2 linked regions of the Xenopus tropicalis genome follow. The protein of the gene in region 1 interacts with the protein of each later gene in a biochemical or structural test. Links are inferred from orthologs where the notes say so. Each region holds a gene or a part of one and is shown on either strand. Other genes may lie near its edges. The genes, in order: scn8a and fgf14.

Region 1 (10,733 bases):
CAAAATGATGTTTTCTTCCCTTGAGTCAATGCCCTTTTTTATATAAGACAGCACTTTATATGCCTTTGTAGCCACAGACAACTTGTTATCTACCAAAATCCCCAGATCCTACTCAGTTAAAGATATCCCCAACACACTACCATTTAGAGTATAACCATAGAAAAAAAAGCCACATTCATAAGCCTATGTGATTAAGGGTTCTTCCCAAAATGCATTAGGTTGTCTGCTTCTCAGAAGCAGAAGCAATTCATGTTTTTATATTTAATTGAATAAAAGACTTTTCCCCTTTTTTGGTGCTATAGTAGTGGAGCACTGCATGAATATGGCCAGCACCTATCTCTAGTTTCTTCCCTGGATACCGTGAAAGCATATAGGAAGTGGTGAGTCCGTGCAGAGATATATATATTTTTTTATTGCTTTCTACCAAAGTCCATAACCTTCCACTTATCAACACTGAACCTCAGTTGCCAGTTTGCTGCCCAATTTTCCAATATAGACAAATCTGTATTCAAAGCGGCAGCATCCTGCATGGAACTTATAGTTTTGTACAATTTAGTATCATCAGCAAAACTAGAAACAGTACTTTCTCCAGGTCATTAATTAACAAGTTAAAAGCAAAGCACCAAGGACAGATCCCTGTGGTACTCCACTAACAACATTGGTCCTTTTAGAAAATGTTTCATTTACCATCTGGACCTTTGTTTACCTTTATATGTTCAAGTCTATTTTGAATTTTCTACTGACCAATGTGTCAGTAGCTATATGACTAGAACTGGGTCTAATAAGAGGGCAGTCTTTATTAGCTGGTTCTCCATTTGAATAGACAGATAAAAAATATTTATTTTCCCTGTGCTCATCAACCAACTAACCTCCCTCTGATAATAATGGTTCCACCCATTCTTTCTTAATAAATATTAATAATATTAATTTTTTTTTACTATTTACTTGTACCTGCCAATAAAAATATTGGAGTAGTTGCACAGTACAGTGCCATGTCTAAAGGGACAATATCACCTATGATCAAATAACCGCATTTATCAAACTGTTCCTATTTATTAATGTATTGTAATAAAAATAACATAACCATTACAAATAATCAGGTTCTGGATTTCAAACAACTAACCACTAAGTGGTACCTTCTGATTGGCTGCTATATGTTACTAAACCAAAAGTAAACCAATAGTCTGGCATGGTGCCGAGAAATTGGCAAATTGTTAATGTGGTGCTATTTTTCAAAATAGGTTCCTGCACTCATCCTGAAAACAACTGGCCTGTTAGTCTGACATCATTTGTAGGAAAGCTTTTTGAAGGGGTAATAAGGGACAGGATGCTTGAATACATTGCAAATCACAATACTATGAGTTTGTGCCAGCATTGTTTTATGTGTAATGGATCTTGCCAGACTAATTTAATTGCCTTTTATAAGGAGGAAAGCAGGAACATAGACTCTGGGATTGGAGTGCGTGTGATCTACTTAGATTTTGGTAAAGCATTTGATACAATGCCACACAGGTAACTAATTAAATTAAGGAATACTGGTCTGGAAATAATACTTATACTTGGATAGAGATCTGACTGTAGGCTAAAAAGAGCATTTTCTAATTAGACCAGTGTTGTTAGTGGAATACCACAGGGCTCTCTCCTTGGCCCTTTGCTTTTTAACTTGTTTATTAATGACTTTGAGGTGGGCATTGTAAGAACTGTAAGTACTGAATTTTTGCTGATGGTACTACATTGTGCAAAACTATAAGTTCCATGCAGGATGCTGCCACGTTGCAAAGAGATTTGACTAAATGGAAGAACGGGGCAGTAAACTTTAGTAGAAATAACATACATGCTAGTTACACAACGGTACTGTGTTGAGGGGCCTCCTTAATTAAAAAAAGAATTTTTGTAGAAAGCAAACTTTGTAACTGTAGTCATAGTCACTCAGTGGCATTTAAAGCAAATAGAGTTCTGTCTTGCTTAAAAAAGGGCATTAACTTAAAAGATGGAAACATCATTTTTGCCTTTTTAAAGGAACAGTAACATAAAAAAAACATTTTTTTTTTAAAGTAATTCAAATATAATGTACTATTGCCCTGCAATTGTAAATGTTTTGTGTTTGCTTCAACAAGATTTCTGTAGTTTGTATAAATAAGCTGCTGTGTAGCCACAGGGCAGTCATTTAAGATGGAAAAAGGGAGAAAAGGCACAGGTTAAATAGCAGATAACAAATACGCTCTGCAGAGCTTGTTTGTTACCTGCCATGTAACCTGTGCCTTTTCTCCTTTTCTTTATTTGAATAGCTACCCCCATGGCTACATTATAAATAATAGCAGTCTTTTTGATGAAAACACACAGCTTTTACCTGTACAGGGCAATAGTATATAATATATTAATTACTTTGATACACTTTTATTTTTTGGTGTTACTGTTCCTTTAAAGGTCTCTGGTAAGGCCTTAACTTGAGTATGCCATGCAGTTTTGGGCTTCAGTCCAGAAGAAGGATATTAACTGGAGATAGTACAGAAACATGCAACTAAATTGGCACAAGGGGCTAATTTGGGTGCTGTGTTTTTTTTAGTGGCCGTCCGACATAAACTTTAATGAAAATTGTCTGACAGGTGTTAGTAGCAATTCTGCATTAAGCTGCATTTCTGGGCTACCAAAGATTGCAGTGCCAAAGGGGCCTATAATAGTCCTGTATTCCATTACCCTAAGAAAGGATGTAGCTATAGTATAAGGAAAGTGGTTACTTAGATGAAGTTAGATGCTGGGTCAGTAACTAAAAAGAAAACAAATAAATACAATTTTACAGTTGCCCCTTAATATTTCCATTAGACAAAGCACAGCTGCCCTTGAATAAGAACATAGATGACTTTGTAGTGAAATCCGCAGTCTGAACCTTGTCTTTATTTATGTGAATCCTAGACTGAGGAGGAAAGGGTTCTACATGAATACATTATGCAGCTACCTCTTAATACATGAAATGAAGGGGAACATGATTTACCAAAATCCCATAATTGCTAAAAATACAGAGGCTGTTCAAATAGGTTACACAGAAGTCCAAGGGACTTGGTTTGTAAAGAAAGATATGGTGGCTCCAAACTTAATGTTCTGTTGTTTTTGTGTTGTATCCTAAATGAGCTTGGTTCCCGTATTATTACTGTGTCCACTCCTGGCTTAGGCTTCTACCCATTTACATTTCTTTCACTCCCTCTCTCTTCCAGTTTTTATTTTAAATAAATAAAGAGCTTTAAAGAAAACATTCATGCAGATATTCTTACATGGTATTGCAAATGCAAAGTGTTTCCTCTGTTATCTCCTTGGGATTCCTGATCAACCCAAGTGCTGTGGCACTTTCTCCAGTCACAGGGAGCTAACCTTTTTTTTTTTTTTGTCCACACTACCTACCTGCTGATGCTAACACCTTACTAACCTTAATCCTGGGTTAGGGCTATCTAACTGGTCCCAGCCCAGATGTGGCCATCCAGAATATTTTGTATGGCCTTAGGAGCTCCTAAATCCTTTGGGTGCCATCATTTTATTATAATTTGTCCCCAGCATGTAGTATTACATCATCCCATTATATTAAATTTGACTGCACTGTTATAACAGGATCTAACATCAGTAATATAGTCCAGTCTGTAGAATTCTAAGGTGTCACAAAGGAGAGTAGTGGGAGCATTCCAAGGCTAAGTAAAATAAAAGTCGAGTATAAAGGAAGTGTGATTGATCAGGCCAATTTTATTACAGCCATTTGGTTGTAGCACCCCCCACCCAATCCTTTATTGGTTGTTTTGTGATTTAAAAAAGGGCTTTTGTCTTGGATATTTCTCAGTAAGGAACAGCTTGTAACACCAATACTTTTCAACAAGAGACACTTTTCCTAAGAAATGTAACTCTGCAAGAAGGTTCCAGCCTATAAAAAATATGACTGGAGGGACTACCATATGGAGTTTACCTTGGTATGGTGTGGTGACTTGGTAATTGTTTGATCATCACTTTGTAACTAAAACCCCCACTTTTTTAAATGTATGCTAAATTACTAGAAAAACAGGGGGCCAGAGAATGTCCATTTATTAATTTCTTCTTTTGAATTCTAAAGTCAATAACTGTGCCCTCAGTCCCAGGACTAGTCCATATATACAGGAAAGCCTTTCAGTGATAATGGTATGTTCCAGGCCTATGTGTAAACAATAGGAGCCACAAGGGAGAGAGGTGCCAGACTTTCCATCTAATTACTTTTTAGAAAACCTTACCATGTATCAGTGTGTTGGTATTCGAGAAAAACAAGTTATATCCAATGGCTTGGCTTACTGTCAAGGAATGTTAACTATAACAATTTTCAGGGGCACTATTTATTTGAAGACAGGCCTTGTATACATGTGGGTTTGTAGCCCAGTGATATAGTTGAGATGAACTTAACAGTATCTTGAAGTACATTGATGCTTGGCTGGTGAGTGGCTCAAGGGGCAAAGTGTGCCATGTAAGGTACCAATGGTGAGCCAATACAGCACAAACAGCAGCATTGTGCTACCTGAACTGCATGTCACCCTTTGTCTCCATTGTATTAGGCAGCCCTGCCAGACACTGTGCAGCCCCCAACATTACACACACCCCTATGAACCCAGGCAAGTTTTCCTTGGGGACATTTTGCTGCCTGAAACACGATTTCCCCTTTCCCCTGCCAAGTGACTATGTTTGTTATTGCCCTGACTGGTGAGTGTATGAGGACCGAGTATGGAGCCCAGTGAGGCTCAGCCCGGTAGCAATAGCTGCCAGTGAAGCAGGTCGCCATGCCAATGCCATCCCTTCCGTTACTCTGCTGCAGGACCCAATAACTTGCAGTTACAACGCTGTTTGTTGGCCATTTTTGCGCACCTGGGACATTGCCAAGGACACAAATTCCCCCGGGAAGATAGTAAGACAATTGAGTCTCCTCAGGAATGAGGGTCGGGACTTCCCAGCTCCTCACACGCACAGCACCCCGGCCGTGAGTAACCGAGGCAATTAGGAGGCACGCATGCGCCCCCCGCCGCACTCATAAACTTGTCTCCCCACCGCCACACCGTCCCACCGTCCCACCGCCCGCTTCCTTCCCTGCCTTCCCGCATCTCCGCGGCTCCTCCCACTCACAGTGCGCTCACGTGACCGAGTGATGTCATCAGAGGTCCTTCTCTCCCTGTAGAATGTAGCAGCAGCAGCAGCAGGCAGCATGGCGACGGGCGCAGTTCCTCCTGCTGCAGCCTCCCCACCTCTGCAGTCCGGCGGCGCCTGCGGGGACTCGCTCTAGAGCTGCGGCCAAGTAAGTGCGCGGGTGACAGAAAGCGGCTACAAAGACGCAGTCTGACGCCGAACGTGTGTCCGGGATAGCATTTGCTGCCAGGATTATTGCACAGATTTGAGAGATGGAGTGAATGCTGGTGCCGTGGGCCCGGGATGGGGGGGGGGGTAGGGTTCTGGAGATCCGGCTGCTCCAACGGGTGTTTGCCGCAGAGGCATGTTTGTCCCTCCGCTCCCGGGTGCAGTGGGCTAGGGGGAGCCGTGTCACTAGCCCCACAGTGAGGCAAAGGCAGAGCATGTGCCCGGTCCCCCTATAACTCTTTGCTAGTTGGTTGATGCCTGAGTGGTGCAGGGGCCCCGGGAAGAGATGAATTGGGTTAGGGGACACCAACTTTCGACCTTTCATTAATGCTTACACTACAGCTCCCAGGCTCCTCTGCGAGGCACAGATGCTATTATGTGTAGTTTGAGCAGGAGGGCCGCAGGTTGTGAGTGCCTCATTGCCTTACCTGCGCACGGTGTATGGCCGACCTTTGCTGTATGTACAGTAACAGTGACCCCCTCCTCACCCTCTAACTTACTCCTGGGGCCAATCTGCACGCACTTCTCTCCCCCAGCAGCACAGTGCGGTTCTACACAATCCCAAGGTGTCATCACTTTCCGTCCCAGCCCCTCCCTTGGCTGCTGCCAGCTCTACATTGAAACGTATGGCCAAGGGTTATGGGGCTGCGATCGGCTCTATATACCGTCCTGACTGGGGGTGCCCCCTGCCTACCGTGTCCCACTTTAGGGAATGAGGACCCTTGCACCCCCTCCCCAGTCATGTTCTTAAAGCTGTATCTGAGTTTGGAGGAATGCGGGTGTGGTAGGTGGGTATTTCTGCATGCTCTGCAGTCCGTATTGCTCTGCAAAGGGGATTTATTCATGATATGGAAGGATTACTGTGCCGGGAGGCTGCTTGTACAGTGTAGGGCTCCATTCTGATTCGGCATGTTGGATTGAGCCGGCTCCGCTACACTGCAGCAATTTTTTCCTCTTCAAATGAATCCTATGGCCCTTACGCCCCGCAATGAAAATGCACTGAGGAAGCCCCTCTGCCTTGCCGTATGCAGTATATGATTGCAGGGACGTCCTGTATGCGACCCTACACTTGTTATAAAGGGGGGATGCTGGGGCATGTAGACTTGGAGGGCCGCTGGTTGGTCATCTTGCAGTATTCAGAATTGGACTATTGATATCACTGCGCTAACATCTTGCTGCTTGTAATGTTAAATATCCCAGTTATTTCTCTGCATGTGTGCTAGTGCTTAACTGGGGCTGTCCCGCTCAGCTATGACTCCCAGAAACCTCCAATGTGGGGAGTCTTTTTTTATTTATTTTTAATGTTGCTCTACAGATGGTTAAGGGGCAAAGGATCCCTGGCGCAGAGTTCAAGCCTGATCACCTGTGTTGGTAGTTTACTATACAAAGCTCATTGAAACATGGACTTGGAGCCGGCTTTTTGCGGCTCGTACTATTGCAGGGGTTCTATATTTATTAAACTCTCACCTTTATTTTAGTGCAGAAAGTGCGTTCCTGCCTAGATAGCTACTGTAACGCATGCCGGCCTCGGTTCATGGTGCTGAATGGACAGCTCCATAGGGTTACTGGCATCAGATCTATGTGGCAGCGATCATGGTGCTGAATGGACAGCTCCATAGGGTTTCTGGCCTCAGATCTGTTTTGGAACGATCGTGGTGCTGAATGTACAGCTCCATAGGGTTTCTGGCATCAGATCTGTTTGGTAGCGATCATGGTGCTGAATGGACAGCTCAATAGGGTTACTGGCATCAGATCTATGTGGCAGCGATCATGGTGCTGAATGGACAACTCCATAGGACTGGCATCAGATCTGTTTGGGAGCGATCATGGTGCTGAATGTACAGCTCCATAGGGTTACTGGCATCAGATCTGTTTGGGAGCGATCATGGTGCTGAATGGAAAGCTCAATAGGGTTATTGGCATCAGATCTATGTGGCAGCAATCATGTTACTGGCATCAGATCTATGTGGCAGAGATCATGGGGCTGAATGGACAGCTCCATTGGGTTTCTGGCCTCAGATCTGTTTGGGAGAGATCATGGTGCTGAATGGACAGCTCCATAGGGTTACTGGCTCAGATCCGTTTGGGAGAGATCATGGTGCTGAATGGGCAGCTCCTCATTGCTGCTGTTCGCTCCGCACTGTGCAGTAAGATTAGTCCTTAAACCCGCCTTGCATTATGGTGCTGGGATGCTGGCCTCATTTTGTCCAAATAGATCAGTCATTCTGCCTTCCTTGGGGCTACAGTGCTGAATTGACACTTCTTGATGATGGTTAGGCCCATTTGGAGGATCTGAATATGTTTTACAGCTTCCTTTGAGTTACTAATACAAAATGTTCTATTTGTTGGACTACTCGTTGGATTTATAATGTTTTTTTTTTTTTTTTTAAATCTTGATCCTTTCTAGAGCACAATGTTGAATGTGCAGCTTATGAGGCTTGCTGGGCGCAGGTTGTGGGCTGGACAGATCTGTCCTTATTCCTGCTTTAGATCAAGATGCTGCATTAACAAGTCGTAGGTTGTTGGTTTTATGTTTTCTTTATGAAAACATAAACATGGACAGGTCTTAATAAATGGGGTACTCAAAATGTTTTGATAATTGGTTCCTGTCTTTGCTTTTAAGATCCATGTGACTTATGTGCATCCTTGGTGCTGACTACAAATTATGGATCAGAATATAGAATTCCGCCAAATTGGTTACATATCAATGCAATGTAGGGCCATATCTAGCCCAAGGCCTCAAATGTAATTTTTTTCCTGCCCTGGTTGGCAGAGGGGTAGTATGGAGGTACCTGAGTTGTTAAAATAATTAACAATATCTGATACCTGATTCAGATCACAGTTCTGTATGAAGATCTCCTGATGAGTGCTTTTTCTTTAGTGTGCCTTAGCTCACAGTCCTGAATAAGCAGCTTGTGCACATTGCTTACCCCAGATTGCATTAGTGAATAGATAATTGCTATTTACTTGCCTTTTTTGTAGTGCTAAAAGGGCTGCTCATAATGACTGCTTGACTTAATCATGGTGAATGGCCATAGATCAATCCTGATGCTGACTTTAGAGCATAGTGCTGAATGGGCATCTCCTGAGGCTTATACTATGTTCACACAGTGGCTATTTGTTTATCTAGCAATATACCTCTCTTATAAAAATAACAAAACACATACATTTCATTCAGTTCTTTTACCTATTCTTTGTATACTTTATGAATCAGACCTCTTTTGGTGATTGCTCGGGCCACACTGTAGAGTGAGATATATTATGCTAATCCTTGCCTCAGATGAATGGGTTTGAGAGTACAGTTCCTTTAGTTTGCTGACCTCAAATTTTTGGTTCTTAGTAGACCAGTCCGATACGGGTTAAGATCATAGATGGACATAATAGATGATTTATGATTTACTGCTGAGTAAACATATCCCAGAGTGCAGGATAGATAAATCCTGTCAAATAGTTTAGCCTAATCTCAAATTGTAGTGAATAGATTATTTCTGTTTATTTGCCATGGATTATGGATTTATAATGTGTATTGCCAGGTTCAGATAGGGGTGTAGAGCTCCAGATGTTTTCTTGCCTCATACTGTAAATTCAATTAGTGATAGCCACCTGCCTAAATTCATGGTACTGCCACTGTTATGTACTATATTCCAGCCTTCTAAATCTTATCAAGAGATATGGTAGCAAAATCAAGTAAAAATAAAATGATCCATAATAATTACTTTACTTTTCAGTACTGATTTATGTTTGAGAGGTATATTTTAGAGAAAGGTATTTTACAATTCCTATATAATGCGTAGTTTTCCAGAATGGCTAAGCAACTACATTAGCCATGCAGTAGCCATCAGTAGTAATCCTGAGTCAATCTATTTAGTTCCATTACATGACAATTAATTGCATTCCCACGTAAATCCATGGTTCTCCCACTATTGCTTTTTGCAAACGTGTGCCTTCATATGAGAATGGTTTATATAAAGGTAGTACAGACGCACACCTTTCAGTGCATTTCAGGTGATACAGGTTGAGCAATTAGAATTTCAGTATGGCGTGTCTTGTAGTTTTGTGCAATAAAGTGATAGGCCAGTGCTTAAAAACAAGCCAATGGCTTAAATAAGAATTTAAAGTTCTTTGAAAAAGGTCTAGAGCTTGTCCTCAACAATTTTTATTCTTTCTGGTATTTAAGTGAAATTAAATGTATTTAAAGTCACAGTGGGACTTATTTTACATTTCATGGAGAGCCCTACACCTTGACACTAAGGGTATAAGTTTAAGGTTAAGATATCACCCTTAGTGCCAAATTGGGATTCAATCCATTATCCAGAAAGCTGTGAATTACAGACAGGCCATCTCTAATCCTTTTTTTTTTAATGATTTCATTTTTCTCTGTAATGATAAAACAGTACCTTGTACTTGATGGTAATTAAGCTCCATATTGGCTACAAAACAATCCTAATGGGTTTATTTAATGTTTAAATAGTTTTAAACAGGCCCTAAACATTCCAAATAATGGGTCTCATACCTATGTGTGTAAACCTTAATCTCACCTCTGAAATCCTCCACTATTTTTTTTTCAGAGTTTGACTTGGTGCACTGGCATAACATCTGACACAAGCACTTTTGAGGCTATACTGTGCGACTGTGTCCTACTGTAGTACTGTATACATGTTGTTATACAGTATATAAAATTAAAACAAAGTTCCTATCAGTCTTATTGGACTTGCCCTTGAAACATAAAATAAAGGGTGTGCTATGGTGGCGGTTTGGATACAGGTTTTGTAATTTGCCACTAGAAAAACATTATTGTTGGTATACACCGAGGTCTTTATTATGATATGAATAAACAATGTGTAATGGTTGCCCCTATCTTGCATTGTGCGCCCATTTTGATAGAACAACATTTAGGTCAGAAGCCTGAAAGCTCTAATTTGATGTAACTTTAGACCAGTGTTAATCTTGGCCTGCCTGTGTCCCTCCATATGTTGGTGAATTGCAACTCCCATTTGATGGCCTTTGAGTTGCTCCTCATCATCTGGAGGGTCACTTTTATTTTTTATTTATTTTTTGATATTGAAGCTGAAAATGTAGTTTCAGGTGTTCTTGCTAAACATATTTTAGTCTCACACCAGCAAATTGTCGCAGGTTTAGGGGCAGCACCCAGCTGACTGTCTTGCAGCTGTGTGTCACTACATATTGTTTCTCCCAGCTCTGTTCTCAGGTCTGTTCTTCCTGCTACTATATTATGATTTGTTTTCTTTTCTGACCTTGCAAAAAAAAGCAGGTGTAAATTCCTTTTAATTTTATGTAAGCAGAATTTGTTGGTCTGTTGTATCTGCATAAAGGGAAAATGTAGGTAAAAACAAGCTGCTCCATAAGAATGTATTTTGTAATAT
Region 2 (10,549 bases), about 23 Mb from region 1:
TAGACCTGTCACCCTAATAATTCCGTATTCTTTACTATTGTGTCAAGCAAAATAAACTTCACTTACACTATAATATATAATAATATAAACCTTGTTTTCCTCAGTCTTGGAATTACACAATAACAGCAAGCAGGACACTGTTATTAAGGAAAGCTTTGTATCACCCCAAAATCTCATGTATGTGCCAGCATGGGGGACCAGATGCCCATGCCCATGCACTGGCTACACAATTAGATGGTGAGAAGGGAGGGGGAAAGTGAGTGCTGAATGGAAAGTTAAAGTAATTGTCTACCTCACCTCTATGCCTAAGGCATAGAGACAGGGCAGGCAATATATGACTGACAGCTGGGATTTTTAAATGTATTTATAATGGATTTGGATGTGTTAATATAAAAATGAATTTAGGTTTTATGTTTAATTTTAAAATGACTTTTATTATACAGATTTTTATGTCTGGGTGACAGGTCCCCTTTAAAAGAGGTTGTGAACACTTCACAATTAGCAAAGCAGCATTAGTCAAGCTGTTAAAATCACCATGACAAGCGTTATCACACACAGTTTTTTTTTCTTCTTCAGCCTTAGAATCCAACTCCCACATACAGACCATTATGTAAGTGAAATTAGGAAGGAAGCTGGGAAGTAGTGCATAATTTACCACAGTGCTCATGTTAATATAAAATGCTATCCAAGTAGAAAATAACACCATAACACTCAGAACAGGTAGATAACATAGCAACTTGTCAAATTAATCATTTCCTGAAGTAATTTAACTCTCACTGAGCCAAAATGAAGCCAATTGTGTTCATTAGTAACTGATATCTAGCCCCTTCTTTTTTCACTGGTTACAGAGCCCCTTGATAGCCCTAAAGTGCTGGCATCCTAGCAAATGTCTTCTATATCTGTGATGCCTAGGTCTTGTAAGGTCAACCATTCTTAATTATTAGGTTTTAGCTGGCACGATACACCCGACTGCACAACATGCTCTTACACAGTCCTCAGTTGTTTCTCTCACCACTAGCTCATAATTCTTATTGGAACATATCACTCCTACTTACCCTATATTCTAAATCCACAAACTCTCCAGCTATTTCATGTTCTCTGTTTTTCTGCCTAGCAACTGGCCATAAGTTCTGCCCAGGGCAAAAACAAGGACAGTGCTAAAGAGGTTGCTATCCACCTTTATACACATGTTCAGCAATTCTTACATTCCTTGAGGGGAAAAAAAAATAAAAAACAATAAAATATATATCACATTTGGGCATAATAGAAAGAATTATGTTTCTATGCTTGTATATTGCTTGCTTTATATGCAATTTTATATGCATGAACTCTCCATGGCAGAATGTTTCTGCTATCAGCTTATAATGCAGATTTCTGTTTAACAGCTTTGCCTTACCAATAACAATTCTTACACAGATGGAGTTCCTGTTACATAACCTTTTAAAACACAGAGATGGCGCATATCTGACAAAATGCAACATGTGCTGATTTGGGTACTATATTATTTCAAGAACAGCAATGGCATTTTGACATACAAGCAACTGTAATTAATTTGATTATTGTTCTTAAAAGTATAATTATTATTTGAAATATTTTATTCCGTGATGCTGGTTATTCTTCCTGGCTTACCATTCCTCTCTTAATGGGTAGTGCAAGTAAATGGGCATTATTTACCCATAATAGTCTTCTTCAAGGAGACCTTCTGCACATTCTGTTCAAGGATGTGAGGTATCCTAATGCTTTTTAACATTTAGTAGATTTAGCATGTAAACCTATTAATTATATGACTACCCTCATTTTAAAATTATAGTAGTATATCAACAGGAAATTAGCAATTATATGTAAGTATTTAGCTTCAAAAAAATCCAATATGCTGTTAATTTCTTTACGCTTGTGCACTCTGAAATAAATATGCCATTTATGTAGTTGTTGTAGTATACATTAAAACAGCAGATGGCTCTCTTGAGTTTCCTTTGAAAAATAATAGCGTTTACCAGAATCACAAACTGTAGAAGCAAAAATGTAAATCTAACCATCCAGTTTTAATTCCAAGCCTTTATTTGCAACAGTTACAGAAATAGGTGATTCCATTTTGCAGCAGTGTGTGTGTGTGTGTGTGTGTGTACGTACACTAATATACACAAACACATTTGTTAATCAAAGCTATATTTAATTCAATCCCATAGATTAAGAAGGTAGGACTCTTTATATAATTTCTTATGTGTTCATGGCAGTTAAATGTAATTAACATCTGCAGTGTTTGAAACTGGGGTTAAGTGCAAATCTGTCTAAATGAACTGTCCTTGGTGCTGAATGGGTTTAAGGCTTCAAATATGCAGAATATTCTTCAAACACCCTAAGGTATTGACACTGTCTTCAACTAGGAATACAGAACAGGATTCATTAAATTGTACTGTTAATCTCCAGATTTACGGTCATTTTGTAAGCATGCAATTTAAAATAGATTATGATGTGTCAAGCCAACTGGTTTTAAAAATGAAAAATCTAGGGAAACAAGCTCTAATTGAGCACAGCTCCCAGCCCTCCATTAGGGCAGCTATTCTCTATAAGATCTTTTACATTTAGCCAGGCTGCTCTACTTTCCCCTGATCCTAAATCATTATTAAAATCTATTCAGCCCAGCAGTGCTTTGTACACACAAATTCCACCTGAAAGGGAGTTGACTGGCTTGGAAATAATCAATAATGTCTTCTTTATGTGGCTTTGTGAACCTAACAGGATGGAGCTTTTGAGTGCTTACAGATGAAAGGGGAAAAGTTTTGTATTTGATTTTGGAGTTTTGGCATTTGTTTACATTTGACAATTCAACCTGTGTGCTGTGTGGGAGAACTCGGAGTGCACAAGATATTCACACAGTAGGTGTTTATTTCACAGCACTCCAAGCTACTCCTTTTTATCACTCTGTTTATCATTTGTATCCATCCAAGCAGAAAGCTGGCTTTTTTCATTTGTTCGACTAAGCTTCCTCTCTTTGCTATGGCACCTCAGTTAGTCACACGTTTTTCACAGTGAAACATGTAAATAGGACAAGAAAAGCAAAGGAGAAAACTCTTCTTCTGAAACTGTATCCAGACTGATGAAGAGCTGTTAGAGCAAAAATGTTTGTGTCGGTCATTTTTCATATTTATGCTCTCAAAGCAAACCCCATTGTGTGTGTGGCAGTGTTCGATAGAGATGTCTAAGAATGTCACTCCTGTGAATTTGATTTGCTAAAGCTGCTAGGGATGATCTGTCTGTAGCTGTCAGATGCTTCCTCTGTTTTTACCTTTTCTTTAAAACAAGCTAGTCTTCTCTTTGTTATGCATGAGTTTTTTGCCAGTGGCATCCTCACACGGTATCATTCTAATGCTGTGTTGATGTCTTTCAGCTTAGTGCCGTGCATCCTGTGCTGCACATATTTCTCACATCGGCACATTGTCAGCACAAAGAGAGTGACTATCTCTAATACACCAGGAGGGCTAAACTGATAACTTTTATATGGTCAGTGCTTTTAGCAATTCAATACATAGGAGGCAGTTTGTTTGCTGGAAGAATTAGCTTACCTATTTTTCGGCAAGATGTAAAAGCAATCCAGCCAGAAGATTGCAGTTAAGCATGCTTAATTTCTAGGGAGAGAGGCATTACAATCAAGGACACCAACTGAGCAAGAGGCTTGGATCTGCTAGAAACTAGCAATTTCTCAAGAAAATTGCACAAAGCTGTGTTGCTTTTTCATTCCTGCTATTTTTTTTAAGGGGTGGAGAGAAGGGGGGGAGAAATGATTTGATTAGAGAATGAGCAGGAAAGAAGATTGCCTCCTGATGCTGATTTCACATGCAGTGCTTCTTGGTGCCTGAAATCAGAGAGGATCGCGAAGCATGGTCTTGCGGAGATACACAGAGGCAGCAGTTCAAGGCTGTTGATTCAGATGCTTAAGCCTTCGTTTACCTGCTACCCATTGCCATGCTAATTCAAAAGGGAAGCCTGCCTCCCCATTCTTTCCTCCTCCTCCTCTTATTCCTTCCTCCTCTCTTTAACCATCTTCTTCATCCTGCTTTTTCAGCTCACTTGAAATAGGGAAGCAGGCATTGTCTGGTGTGTGGGTGGCACTGAGGAGACCAGCTAAGCCCACCCCCATCTCTCTGAGCTTTGCACTACCAACAAGCATAGATGCCAGTTTCTTCAGCGGAAGAGGTGAGAGAAAGCTGCTAACGAAGTTCTGTTTGGAACATACCAATATTTTTGCTTTATTCCTATTATTTAAATATATGTATGTATAAATACATATACATACATATACTGTACTTTTGCTCAACTTGTATATTTACTTCTCCTTCTAAAGGAAAGTAACTCTGGGTTGGCACAGTTTCTTTTCTCCCACTTCACCACTGGTTGTATAAAGTGATCTGACAAAGGGAGCAGAGAGATGTCCAGCTGTCTTCAGAGGGGCTGAGCCCCTTTTTTTTTTGCTCTTTGTAGCTCCAACAGACTGATCATCTGGGTTCTATCTAAAAACTTGGTGGGGTGTCCCACCACGACTTTCTGCTAGCCCCTCCCTCTCGGAGCTTCCCAGCCCGATAAGCGTGTACGGGAGGTGGCATGGCAGCAGCTATCGCAAGTGGACTGATCCGACAAAAGCGACAGGCACGGGAGCAGCACTTGGACCGTCCCTCCGCTAGCAAGAGGCGCAGCAGCCCTAGTAAAAATCGAGGCCTTTGTAATGGGAACCTGGTGGATATTTTCTCCAAAGTGCGAATCTTTGGCCTCAGAAAAAGAAGGCTGAGACGGCAAGGTCGGTTGGTCTGTGTCTGTCAGCTGTTTTCATGATTACATTATGTTTTTTCCTTCTCTTGGATTCTGTGCACCCAATGGCAGAATGTGTGCGCTCATCCTTCTTAATCCGTAGTGTGTCTCTTTACCCTTTGTTGTGTAGTTCTGTTTATATCCTGATGTATATTTCTGTAATATGTTTCAACACAAAATCCATTTTCCACTGATCAATGTGATGGGTTGTTGTTGTCCGTCTTTCCAACTTAATTGCAAATCTAGTATTCGTGAAGATTAATTTTATACTGTAAATCAGCCTTTTAGCCTGTATTAGATTACACATCCAGTGCCAGGGTTATTGGCACTAAAGTCTAAAGAACTAGCAAGCAGTTTATGACTTGCATTGTAGTATTTAACTTTCTGTCTATGTGCATTCATTTGTGGCTCGCTCATTTACTTCAGTCAGGTCCCCAAAATGTATGTTTGTTTATCTTTGTTTCTCTTGATTCAGTCTGATGGGGTTGGGGGCAGGAGTTAAATAAAATATCTTATACAATAACTTGTTAATAAAACAGTAGAACAGAAGAGAAGGCATATAATTTGACTTTAATTCCAGACTAACTATATTAGTAGCTATGAAACGTATGTATATACCTGATATACATTTATATACAGTTTGCATAACAAGTCTTTATATGTCACAATTTATGAAACTTTATAGCACTTCATGAGAACCACTCATTCAGTGAACTGCTGTAGCATTTAAGACTCTGTATAACAATTACAGTGACAAACCTGTGGAAGTACAGTGTCTGTACCTGTATTAATGTTAGACAGCTGTATTAATGAATATGAATGAGCTTTATCAGGACCACTGTGTTCTGACTTACTCCACAGGAGTTCTGATTTTCAGTCGTGAACAGCTCTGATAAATGCATACATTAAACGCACAGTATACCAAAGAGGATCTGTACAATAAGCCCCTTACAAGTAGGTTCAGGTAAATATTGAATTAGGTTTTTCACTCAATAATCCTTTTTTTTTTTTTAAATAATTAAAAGCACCAGCTTTCACTTTGACATTTAAGAGTTAAAGCAGGTTTAGATGCATAAATCTTTTAAATTACTAATGTAAAGAATCATTAACCATGAGATTAAACAAATAATAAATTGTTCATCCTTGCTTAATTTATGACTATCCCCAACGTAGGAGTGAAGCCATTTGGAAATATTGTGAAAAAAGGACTGTTTCATGTGTCTGATTCACAAGAAATGCTCACAGTAGGGTTGGTAGGGATACTTAACCCCATCACTGACATCTTCTGTATGTCTCATAAAAAAATTAATTATTTCCAGCTGAAAAACCTGCAGTACATCTAAAAAATACAGCACCTAATCTTAGACAAGGTTAACAGGTTGCATTTACCGAGAACCATTTATGGTGTGAAGATCTTCTAGTCTAAAGTATATTTTTCATAGCATACTCCGCTTTTGTACTGTAGTTTTAGTATTTCAAAATAATGTACTGTTTTCTTGTGTGCAATGATATATGTTTATCATTATCATAAATATTTTTTTGTAAAGGACACCTAGAAAATATATGGTACTACAGATAACACTACATCCAAATATGTTAATGTATTGTAAGCCAAGGTTATTTAGGATTTTCTTTGGTGCCTGATGTAATAAAAGAATTACAGGTGTGCTAATAAGATAAAACAAATGGTAGCAGTCAGGGAATATATATAAGCCATAATTATATGCTGGATCACACTCAAGAAATGATCCTGTTACCCTAGAGACTTGTAGGCAGCACCAATGAGTTGCCCATGTTTATGGGTTACTGTGGATTCTTTTTTCCTTATAGCTTTGGGGGAAAAGCAGAACATGGAGTTTATTAAATCTAGTACAGCTCTACAAAGTTAATAAATCTCCTCTAACTAATGCTTTCATTTTAAGAGGCACAAAGTATGAAGAATTATCCTGTGAAAGATTTGACAGGTTTGATTGTATCTGCTGATGTGTATAAAATAAGCTTAGAAGTGTGGAGATCTTGTTACCTGGAGTATGGCACGGGATGAGCCTTCAGTCCTGCCATTCATTTTACTCTGCTATATGCTATGTTTGCATAAATGGAAATCACCTAGTTTGGATTTATTCTTAATGCTGGTGTCAACAGTGAGGAAGAGAAAGGTGATGCACAGTAAACCGTGCCAGTGCATATTTGCACCAAGGGTGTATGTTTATTCATGATTTTTTCCCTTATTCCTTATTGATGTAGGATTAATCTTACCTTCCTTTGTAAATATCTGTGTCAGGAATACAAAGCTGTATGTGTTTACCTTAAAAAAAAAATACACAAATAAAAGCACCATTATAAGAAATTGATCTTTGTACTGTTACTGATGGTAGAAGAAGGAACATGGAAGCAGGTCATTATGACCTAAATACAACTTTGCAGATTTTGTATGAGATATTTCATGGCCACTTACCTATAAGGAGAAAGCGTGTATAGGTCTTGGGTTAAACTTTCAGCATTTGTTTCTGAATTACAACATCCAGCCTAGGTCAGAGCATGCTGGGAAATGTAGTTCACAATCATTTTAGGTGAGTGACATACCTACTTTTATCATTACTGTCTTTAATAGACTGGGTCAGACATACAACTGCACACTGGTAGCCATATCGCTGCTACAGGTGTCCTCCTTCTTTGGTTTCTAATGTTCCTCTTGGTGCGCAGTTATTATAGATACATTACTAAGCCTAGCAGACCCTACAGAATATAGGGTTGTACAGAAAAATAACAGTGTGCTTATTTAAACTGAGTGTTATAGGTATTATGACTTGTTAACAGCTCTTAATGAAAGGCCGGTAATAATCAGTGTCATTTGCAGTGAAAAGAAATATCCATTGGCTGCCATATACACCCAGTAGTCTGCAGTGTACACCCAGTAGTTTGTATTTTTCATTGATGTTGAATGTGAATTTTGCAACATGATAACTGCAAATTTCTGGCTGTTATTATATATATTTAGGCTGAAAACCTCCTCACAGACCACTGTTTAAAGTAAATGTACTTAAGAAAGACCTGGGTAAAAAATAAAGACAAATAATAAAAGGATTATAATGAGAAAGCTGAGTTCCAAAATGCGATTATTGGCATTGTTATTTATTTACTTCTTGGGACCATTCTAACAGCCAAACATTTGATTCTCTCCTTTTTAGCCTCATTAATAATACACATTCTCCACCAACCCTCAGTCTACTATTATTATAGCCCTGCTGCCTTACTTGACATTTTCAATAAAAAAAATAAAACAGTAGTAATTTGAAAGTTAACAAAGTATTTACTGTTTTACAGTGGCACATCTAGGGCTGCTACCTGAGGCACCAGCGCCGTTACCACCTCCCGCCCCCCACCCCATTCTGCGCTTACTGCGTCTACCACTTACCTTGCTATTGCGCTCTCTGCACTTAGATACAAATTATCATTTTGAAACTTGAAAATGTAGCTCTTAAAGTTACCAGACGTGGCTTTTTTCTGCCCCATGTAACTGCCCCCTCATTGCCAAATGACAGGAGTTTGCTTTGTACAAACATCATTTAATGGAAGACTTGCCCTTTGGGTTACTAGTCATAACTACACCTGAGATTCTCCTGCTCGTAAAGCCACAACACAAGAATCACTGAAGCTTACCTGTTACACCATGAGCAGCATAGGCAGTTCTTAATTCTCACTCGCAGGCACTCCAAGCTATATACACATATAATATTTGCATGTAAGATTGTTTTAATCTATTATACTGATCCATGTTTCAGTACTCATGCAGCTATAGGCATACACCTGTTATAGTAAAATTCTGACTTACTGGAACTAAAAATTACTACATGGCCACTAAGTGCCTATCTCTGGTTTAGGGACATGAATATTAATGAAAATAAATAGTATTCAGAGACTATAATGTAGGCCAGATATGTTAACATGAAGCGATCTGTGATCTGCAATTTCCAGCTTCCAATTGGAAGGTGCATCTGTAAGCAGTTTATTGGAAATGTGGGTGATGTTGGTTGGCTTATTCAGGCTAGATAACTCATACATTTTCAGCAGATCCATAACCTAAAACCCCTGCTTCATGAAAAGTGAGTCAATCAAATAACTGAAATAGACTGACTGATTCACATGTGTTCAAACAGTGATATCCTTAAGCCATGGAATTATTTACAGGAAGCTGTGATAAAGTGATTCTCAGGGAACATGCTGTTATTGCACTGAGCAAAAACATCAGAAACTTTTAGAAAAAAATCCACCCCTTTGTAACTGAATTTTTAAATGTGCTCATAAACATATCTGCTCAATAGTAAAGCACTTATCAAAGAAACCCATTGCCAGGACATTTGTTGTCAAGTGTAAAAATAAAAAAAAAAATCGATAAAATTAGAAATTCAGATGACTCTATGGAAATGTTTCTATTGAAGGTATACTTCAGCTTGCACTACAGCTGGCCATTGTACGCTATATCTGTCATTATCCCCCAAAGCCTATTGAAGGATCCAGTGGAAACTGATTTGAAGCACCACCGACATCTAGGTTAAGAACCCTCCTACCTACTATTTGCGATTGTACTGATTAATATTTAAATCTAGTATGTAACAATAAATATTTATTCTGTGACTCCACTCATCATTTCATACACATATCTGTGACAAAAACATGTGTATGTAGGTAGGTAAATATGTGTATATCTGTGTACTGTATACAGCCATAAATATCCTGATATGTTATAATATGTGTTAAGTCATTTGTGTCACAACTCACTCATATTTGTTTAAAAAAATTAATGTAACACAATGTAAATGTTGCAAAATATGTCTGGAGTTCTGTGACATGAATACAATCACTTAGCCTGTGACATTGTGCCTTAATATGGTCATGGGACTTATCAGATTTCTAATTTGCTTTTATTTAGAATTGGGGTAACATTATACTCTATATATTATTTTCTAGTTGAGCTTTGTCTGGGAAATTTAATAATACATAACTAAAATAACAGAAAAAGCACTCTGCATTGTAAGGAATTTTTGCTGTAATAAAACTGATAAATCATTTCCAACAACTTATTTACCACACAAAGTCAACTAGTTTCTAGGGTAATGCTGGCACCCTCATGTGCGAGAATAATGGTGCAATTTTACAGCATTAAATATGGCTACTGGACTTCGTAAAAATGGGTTGCCACCTGCTAGGGCCAGGGCCAGTATTACAAAAGTATCAGTAATTACAGTGTTACATTGGTAATTCCCCCTATTTCCCAAGTTTTTCCCCCTGCAGCACTTACTTTTAACCACAAAGACCCTCTGTATGACCAGAAACTCCCCATGGACCCAACATGCACATTTGCTGCTCCCGACAAGCCCATTTTCTGTCGTAAAAGGAGCACCAGCCTAGGGAAAAAACATAGCGACTGGATTCACTGGGGGTGCCAAAATGTTGAATCCACATTTTCTTGTCCATTAAGTACTGGGCTCCCCTACATCTTATCCCATACTGTGCAGAACATTTTCCCAGGTTTAAATGCTGAGTACATGAGCCCTCAGGCTCACAATTTGGTGTGGTCTGTTGGTATATCCCTGTATGTATCATATGTAACAGAAATATAATAATAATATATTACATTATATGTTTATTAATCCCCCTATAAGCCCTTCATACATTATTATTTCTTCATAATTAACCCTGCCCACATAAGCCAACACTGAATCAAAGATATGCAGGCAATATTTTC

Evidence for each region.
Region 2: the proteins of scn8a (region 1) and fgf14 form a complex in vitro, tested with the Homo sapiens proteins (2 studies listed by BioGRID). The link is inferred for Xenopus tropicalis from reciprocal best matches to the Homo sapiens genes SCN8A and FGF14.

What each region holds. Positions count from the first base shown.
Region 1 is NC_030678.2:143,164,718-143,175,450, reverse strand, and holds the start of scn8a (sodium channel, voltage gated, type VIII alpha subunit), read left to right. Parts: upstream 1-5,069; 5' UTR 5,070-5,290; intron 5,291-10,733. UniProt on the Homo sapiens protein: Pore-forming subunit of a voltage-gated sodium channel complex assuming opened or closed conformations in response to the voltage difference across membranes and through which sodium ions selectively pass along their electrochemical gradient.
Region 2 is NC_030678.2:119,962,927-119,973,475, forward strand, and holds the start of fgf14 (fibroblast growth factor 14), read left to right. Parts: upstream 1-4,599; coding exon 4,600-4,792; intron 4,793-10,549. UniProt on the Homo sapiens protein: Probably involved in nervous system development and function.